2 linked regions of the Caenorhabditis elegans genome follow. The protein of the gene in region 2 interacts with the protein of the main gene of each other region in a pairwise test. Each region holds a gene or a part of one and is shown on either strand. Other genes may lie near its edges.

Region 1 (3,928 bases), on a different chromosome or scaffold from region 2:
TATATTTCATTTATCAAACTATTTTAAAAACATTCGTAAAAACTAGTCTACTCTGCCTAGTGTTTTCTAACAGACCTGGCAATTCTGAACAGTATGGATGAAAAAAGACTACCTTCGATTTTCCTGTCAATTAAAATTATGAAAAAATGAAATTTTTGGTTGCATTTTTCACATACAAACATTTTTATACGTTTTTTCCAAATAATGAACATTCTCACAATAATCTTGACCGTTTGTCTCGTGTAAATAGCCGTTTCTAAAAATCATGGGTTATTCATTTTTTTGATTTTTTATAACATTTTGATTTTTTACTTTTTTATATGATTCAAAAATTCATTTCCAAGTCCTTTCATAATAACGTCTGATGTTTTAAATTATTGTTTATAGATGCATAGGAAAGTAGAAAAAAAAATAATTAAGAAGTATATTTTTGCGGGAAAAAGCTTTAACTTCACAAAAGAGTGCGATTCTACTGAAAAATTTCAGAATGACAGTCTTTTGTGAAGCCAATGCTAAAAAAACCCAATTGGCTAGATCGAAGTGATCAGCGCAGATAGCTACAGAAGACAATTCCAAAAACAAGAAGATTGCAAGTTAGATTTGAGATCGGAAATTGAGATTTGGTGAACGTGTTGATTTTCTTGTGGACTGAGAGTTCAAAAACGTGTAGCTAAAACAATAGAGCAATAATGAATAGAGAAATGATGGACAGTAACGTGAATTGTGAAAAATCGGGACGTGTCTTGAAATGCCGGTAGATAATGAAATTTGAATGCGCGATATCAATTTAGAGTACTGAACAGCTTTTCTTCTCTTGGAATGGATTGTGCTGATCGGTTGGCCCGGAGACCAGCATGTCGTTGGTCTTGTTCTTCTCGCAAAAATCGAGCAGTCTGAAATTATAGTTTGATTGCATATAAGTAAATATTTCACTTTTGCTATTTGATATTCCACATTGTCATATATATTCTTGTAATTTTCGATGGTTACAAAAATTCGATTCGTTTTTAAATTATTCAAACATCTGAAACAATTTTGTCGTTCTGTCGGTTCTGTCGAAATGGTTGTGACGACATTATGTACTCTAAATATCACTAAAATTGTGAAGTATTTCAAAACTATACTTTTGTGTAACCTAATTTTAGTTATGCGTTGTTTTCGATTGCCTTGAAGATTTTTCGAGTAAGTTATTGATTTTCCAAAAAAAAAAAGAAAATCGTTGAAAGAATGCCTACCAATAAAATATCGACATTCATTATTTCTACAGTTTAGTGCTTGCCACAGTTAATGAACCTGGCCACAGTTTGATGAAAGAACTGGAGCAAATTATGCCATATTACGATGTTACGTATCACACTTTCTTTAGGATATAAAGTACACTTTTAGACAAAAAAAATACCAACAAGAAATGTGCAATTTTTACATTAATAATGAGAATTATCCAAATAACGTCTCGGAGTAGCAATACTAAAAATAGATACCTATTCTCATATGTAAATCACCTTTGCTCATAAAAAATAACTTACTCCTTTGAAACTTCGGAAACTTTTTTTCGTTGAATGTTGGCCTCAGCACAGAGTTGTTCGGTTGATGCCTTGATGTTTTCCATCTCAGATGGTTTCTGGAACTGAAAGAAACGCTAATAAATTTTCAAAATATGATAAAACAAATCTTCTTCTCAATAGCGAAAACTGGTGAAATGAGTAAGGTAGCTGGGAAGAAAAAAAGCGAGGAGACAAGTTTGGTGTCGACGCAAAATGAGTAGGTTTGGTGGGTGAAACTACCAATTTTACGATCGGAGCATTTGCTCTTTTGTCGAAATTAAAGGGTTTCGAGGCAGAAGAGCTCATGTGCTAAAACGGTGTTTATAATTAAAAGATTGAAGACTGAGCTATGTTTAATAAATAGATTGGAGAGGATTTTACATCTGGATTCTGAGACTCTTCACGACAAAAGAGAGGCGGTAAAAAGTGAAATCCAGTGTGAGAACTGACGACGGCCCTATGCGCTCTTCATCATAAAAAATATTGTTCGGGATTAAGTCGTCCTCCCTTTTTCGTTTCTCTTCCTTTTACTCTTAGTCAATCCACAATTCAGGGGATTCGGAGGGATTTTGGCGCCAGCGGATTTAACATTGATTTTATTATTGAACATTTTTGAATATTTTTGATATGCTACATTCAATATAATTTATACGTAAATATCAAATTGGCCAGAAAAATGTTAATTTTTAATAATTCATCAAAATAACCATACAAAATACGTTGCGGCTAAAATTCTTAAAAACTAATACTTCTACTAACTCATTTCTTTCTCAATCTAAAAATCACTCAGTTTGCAAAGCTCTGTTGATCAAAACAAGAACTGAATGAATCGAATCCAACTCTTTATAGTTGTTTTGATTGGATTTGTATTCAAAAATTTGTCAGTGACCATTTGAATATAGATTTGGTTTTTTGTCTCGATTCCTAGATTTGTTATTTGTAAAAAATCAGGAACAGGCAAGATGATTTGTATTAACTTTCTGACTTTGAAAATATTCAACACGAAATTGTATTTAGTTAATAGCTTACGATCACATTTAGTATTTCTTGAATTTTAATCAAAATTAAATTATTTTATATGCTATTTTAATAAAACGAAAATTGCGTTGGACAGCAGAAAATTATAACAAACTGAGAAGAATATGAAAATTACTGAAAATTATACAACTAGGTTCTCAAATAATGTGAAACCCCAATTTTCGTTTTTATTTGGACAGAACTAAACTTTTTATACGCTTTAAATGGATCTTATTGTATATATGTAAAAAGCTTTCATTGCTGATAACTCCCATAATTAAAACGTTAAGCATAAACCACATAAATCTCTTCACTATTCAAAACAAAATTTAACGCTTCGTGAGTCAGAAGTAAAATCCAAAGAAACGAGCTATACTAGAGTTACTGTCGAGTTTTCGTGATTTTAACAAAATCTTTACAAAAAAAAAAGAGTCCAGAAAACTCAACAAGTCAGCAGCTCGCTCTTTACTTTCACCTGTTTTATGTTTTCTTTTCATCATTTCATAACCAGATAGCATAACTCGTACCAATCAGCTTTCTTATCCAAACTTTTATTAGGTGTGGTTGCCCATAGTTACTAAATGAGCTATGCGTTTTATACTCTAATCATATTTTGACAAAGCTGCAAAGAAAGGTGATTAGGTTTTGTGGTAACTAATAGAAATATATAGTCAAACAAACTGGCAATATTAAAATTAAACTAATGAAAATTAAGTAGTATAATTATATATCGAACTGTCATTAAAGGTGAAGCAGCAGAACAAGGTAAAAATTTAAAAACCACTCTCATGGTGCCAAAATGGCTAAATATTATAGTAAAATTTTTAACAAATTTTTAAAAATTTTTTTATTGTTTCTAAAAATGAGACTAATTAAAACTACCATTTTTTGGAAATTGATCAAAAACATTTTTCTTAAAAATTTTTTGGTTAACTTAACTATAAGTTCAAATATTAGTGTTCAAACACTGTACGATTTCGGACATACTCCAGTGCTATAGTATTCTCAAAAAAGGCAATAATCAAGTAATTGCCACCTTTTGTTGTCAATAAAATACATTTGAACATGTTTTTGCAGCTTCTTATCATAATTTAATATAGCGCCAAGTTGGATGAGACTAACATTCGGGGACTTCGTAAGCCCATTTGTTTTAATTTTTTTAAATCAAAGTAAACTTAAATGCCGATTGCATAAGAGTCATAAATTTGAAATCTCAAGAAAGAACTAATATGATGACATAATAGTCCCGCCCACATGACATCCTTAAAAAAAAACTACACACACCTACCCCATTTACCCATTTTCAAACAAAACATGTATTGTTTATTTGTTTCACAACTTCGTCATCTGCGGAAACTATATAAAAT
Region 2 (3,928 bases):
CAAGCGACAAACGATCCCGATGGAGCATAGGCACAAGTCATCACCCACGATGATCTCAAGGGAATTGCATGAACCTGGAAAAAAAATGCAAATTAATTTCTTTAAATTTTTTCTTTTTTTATCAAAAAAAAAACAATTGAAAATCGTCAAAAAAAACTCACTTTATTTGTGGTGTACGAGTCCCAAACGATGAGCTTTCCGTCTTGTGAAGCTGACACCAAATTGCGACTGTCTGATGCCCAGTGCATTGCATAAATCTGCAAAATTTATCGATTTTATGACTAGAAAAAGTCTGAAAGCCCTACCTTGGCTAAATGTCCCCTAAGCGTACGTCTCGTCCTCATCTGAATGCGGCCAATTGGCTCCAGATTTGAAGCGACGGTGGCCAGTGTTGTGTCATTTGCTGATTTCCGGGCTTCCTGCAAAAAATTAATTTATTTTGTTTTTTTTTTAATTATGAAAAACTTCAAATTATTGGTTTTTACAACTTTTTACTTCAAAATCTGTAAATTCGGGCCTTAAATTTTTATAAAAATTACTGTAATTTCCACTCTAGGAATTTTCATCGATTTTTCATAGTTTTCAACTAAAAAACATAAATTTTTATAAAATCGAGAGAAAAACTATTATCTAGACGGATATATATGAGGTTTTTTGCCACATGAGTCTCGCCACGAATTGTCGATTTACGGGCTGTTATTACATATTTTTGCATACATTAAACACATTAAATGGACAGTTTGAGATGATGCAATAGTGCCCCGTAAATCGACATGGGGGATCAGAACCTCTCATTTTTAGACGTCCACATAATATGGAAAATTGCTGAAAATTCCCGAATTTGAAATTACAGTAATCTTTTCACAAAAATTTGTCGCTTCGAGACCGGGGACTGTATTTTTGAAGCGAAAAATCTTCCACTTCCATAAATGTTTTGTGCATTTAATTAACACCAATTCAGTGTATTTTCTATCTCTGCTGCCCCTCCTCGCTCCAGGCCAGCTCACCCCGTTTTCAGCACCACGAGAGCTTCACCAAACCCCGCGCAACATTTTGTGCTCGCGCACACGCACAACCATGTGTGTGTGTGTGAGTGCTCGTCGGAGCAGGAGCTACCACCAATTCTAGTGAGCGACGCGATGACAACGACAACGACGACGACGACGGCAGCAGAGTCCTCAAGGGAGAATGGCGCACTACGACACGAGTGGAGCTTGCGCAGAAGAGAGACTGCGAGAGATCTCTCTCTCTCTCTCTCGTGCTCTTGGCCAGCAGTAGCGGCAGAAATTGAGAGCATTCGGCGGCGGGGCCCCGGGAAAATAGTGGAACAAGAGCCGGAGACGCCGACAATCTCACATTAGGCAGCCAATCTATTCTCCTCGCTCGCTCGCTGCTTCTGCTGCTGCTCCAGCTTCTCCTCGTCTCAGTGCCCCCACCAGGGGCGACCCCATCTCGGCCAATGGCTCGCCGCGGCCTGCGTGTGTGGAGCAACAACTTCTGCTACTGATCGATATTTTGCAGCGGCGATGGCGGGTAGAAGAAGAAGAAAAGAAGACGACGACGGCTGGGGGACGACGACCATCGTGTTATACACATCCAGTGCAGCAGCACGTCCCCTCAAGTACGGCGCAAAAACAACGCCGATGGCGGCGGCGGCGGCATCGTTGGAAGGGGAGCGCTTTACTTATTACCAACAATTTGTATATGTATGTGTGTATATGTGTGTGTATAAATATATAAATGCGTGTATTTCTCATATTTCGCATATTCAAACAATTGCTAGACCATGCTCTGGAACGAGAGATTACTGCAATTATTAGTTTAAAAAATATTTTAAAAAATAAAAAAAAACACAGATTTACTCACCCGAATCTGCGACTTCAGCTGTTCAGCCTCCTGTCGAAGTTGGTCAAGTTCGCTCATCTTGCTGCTGGTGGTGGTGCGTGCTCCGGAGGATGGTACTGATGGAAGTGTCGACGGATGCGGCTGCGGCTAATGCTGCTCCTGGTCGGTGTTCGCGTTTTCGACGGCGGCGCTGCTCTATTCGTCGTCTTCGTGGCCTTTGTTCTTGCACTCGACAACTGGGCCTGCAAAAAAAAGCGTGAATTAAGAATTATTGGATAGAAAAAAAGAGTTTGAAGGAAATAGCAGAAAAAATCGATTTTTTCCAAGAATTTGATTATTTTCATGAAGGAATTAAATTTATCGTTAAAATAATTCAAGTTTTCGAAGCTTTTAGAGATTTTCTGTGGAGAAAATAAGAAAAAATAAGATAAAAAGGTCAAAAAAGGAAAGAAAATCAAAGAAAAACAACAGTGTGCATATTGACGTCACGGTGTTTGCAGAAACTACGGTAGGCCAGCACATGCTAATTGCCGCGCAATGTTTTTTGTTTTTATTTAATTAATTAATTAATAAGTTTTAAATTGAATATTCAATGCGAAAACCAATCAAAAAATGAAGAAAATTATTGATTGTTTCATTGTAATCAAGTAATTTATGTAAAAATCAAAAATTTGAAAAAAATGGATTTTTTTCAATTTAAAAATAAGTGATTCCAGAATTCTATATTTGAAAAAACAACACATTTTGGTCTTACTTATCTAATAAAATAGTTCGATTCTAAAATCGATAACTAGACGGGAAAATATTTAATTCTTTAGAGAGGAACTTTGGAAGTAGATTATTAGCTCTAGGGATCCCTATAGGTGAGATAATAAAATAAGAATAAACTAAAGGTATGTTTTTGATCAAAACATGAAAAACCTACTAGAAAGAAATCTATATCACTAACCCTTTTAATTAAAACCCCTCGACCGACGTCAACTTGGCAAAGACGGTGAGACCAAGCTGCTGATCAGGAAGTACAGAATGACGGTCTGCAAACCAAAATCATAAGCTTCAGAAATTTTAAGCAAAATTTTTAACTTTCAAAAAATCAATAGATCGATTCAGAAACTGGCGTGAGAGCGGAACACTGTACGAGAAAGAAACCAAACCTTGAGACGCAGACCAAGCGGGATGGAAAAGGGGAGCGGGCGGGAAAAAATGTAAAAGTGTTGGTCTGTGTGTGTGTGTGTGGCGCGGAAGAACAAAACAATGACAAAAAAGAAAGAAAAGAAACTGAATACCACAAATGTCGAATGAAATGAGGGAATTAAGGAAGGAAATGATGGGGCACAGGTATTTGAGTTTTGAGGGAACATATTGCTCTCCGTGTTCAAATACCTTGGGCTCTCCCAGGTAGGAGCGCAAAACGTGACAAAAGCTAATATATATCTGTGCGAAGAAGGCGCGGCTCACTCTTTCTCTCTCCTACCATTGGATCTGCGAATTATTGATTCAACTTTTGTTTGCTAAATGCAGAATTCTAATTGCTTTGGGCGAGGGGACATCTGGTGCCCTCCAGCAGGTGGTGCGAGCATTTTTAACCAATAAAATTGTACAAAGTTCTCAGACAAAAATAGGCCAATTTTGACCGAGCCAGACTGCCATCGAAGATTAATGGCTTTGATGTGACGTGGCAGGACGCAAGACGGCTTAATGGCTGGTGTTTGGGTCTAAAATGTGAATGGGCACAGGAAATGAAAAAGCGGCGAAACGTTCTGGACTAGAAGGGAAAAAAAAGAAAAAATAAGCGGATTGTGTCAGGCAATCAGTCGATTCGACTAAGCAACACACAGCCCAGAGAAACAGACACGCATATGCAGATAATGCCTTGACGAAGCACAAGAAGAAAGAAGAAGTAGATGTAGAAGTAGAAGACGACGACGACGTAGAAGAAGTAGAACATTGAGCGTGAGCGTGTGTGTGTGTGCGTGTGTGTGTGTGCCAGTGAGCTGCCCCGAGATACACCAATCAGAGGCTCGTCTAGACCTCTACATTCAGAACACTATTCCTATGGAGAGAGAGAGAGAGCAAGACGAGT

What was found.
Region 1: the proteins of gpb-1 (region 2) and gpc-1 interact in a two-hybrid assay, tested with the Caenorhabditis elegans proteins (one study listed by BioGRID).

What each region holds. Positions count from the first base shown.
Region 1 is NC_003284.9:12,880,803-12,884,730, forward strand, and holds gpc-1 (Guanine nucleotide-binding protein subunit gamma), read right to left. Parts: upstream 1,628-3,928; 5' UTR 1,610-1,627; coding exon 1,527-1,609; intron 894-1,526; coding exon 788-893; 3' UTR 369-787; downstream 1-368. UniProt on the Caenorhabditis elegans protein: Guanine nucleotide-binding proteins (G proteins) are involved as a modulator or transducer in various transmembrane signaling systems.
Region 2 is NC_003280.10:11,745,725-11,749,652, forward strand, and holds the start of gpb-1 (Guanine nucleotide-binding protein subunit beta-1), read right to left. Parts: upstream 1,927-3,928; 5' UTR 1,924-1,926; coding exon 1,867-1,923; intron 1,337-1,866; exon of another isoform or gene 1,199-1,336; intron 420-1,198; coding exon 306-419; intron 258-305; coding exon 162-257; intron 75-161; coding exon 1-74.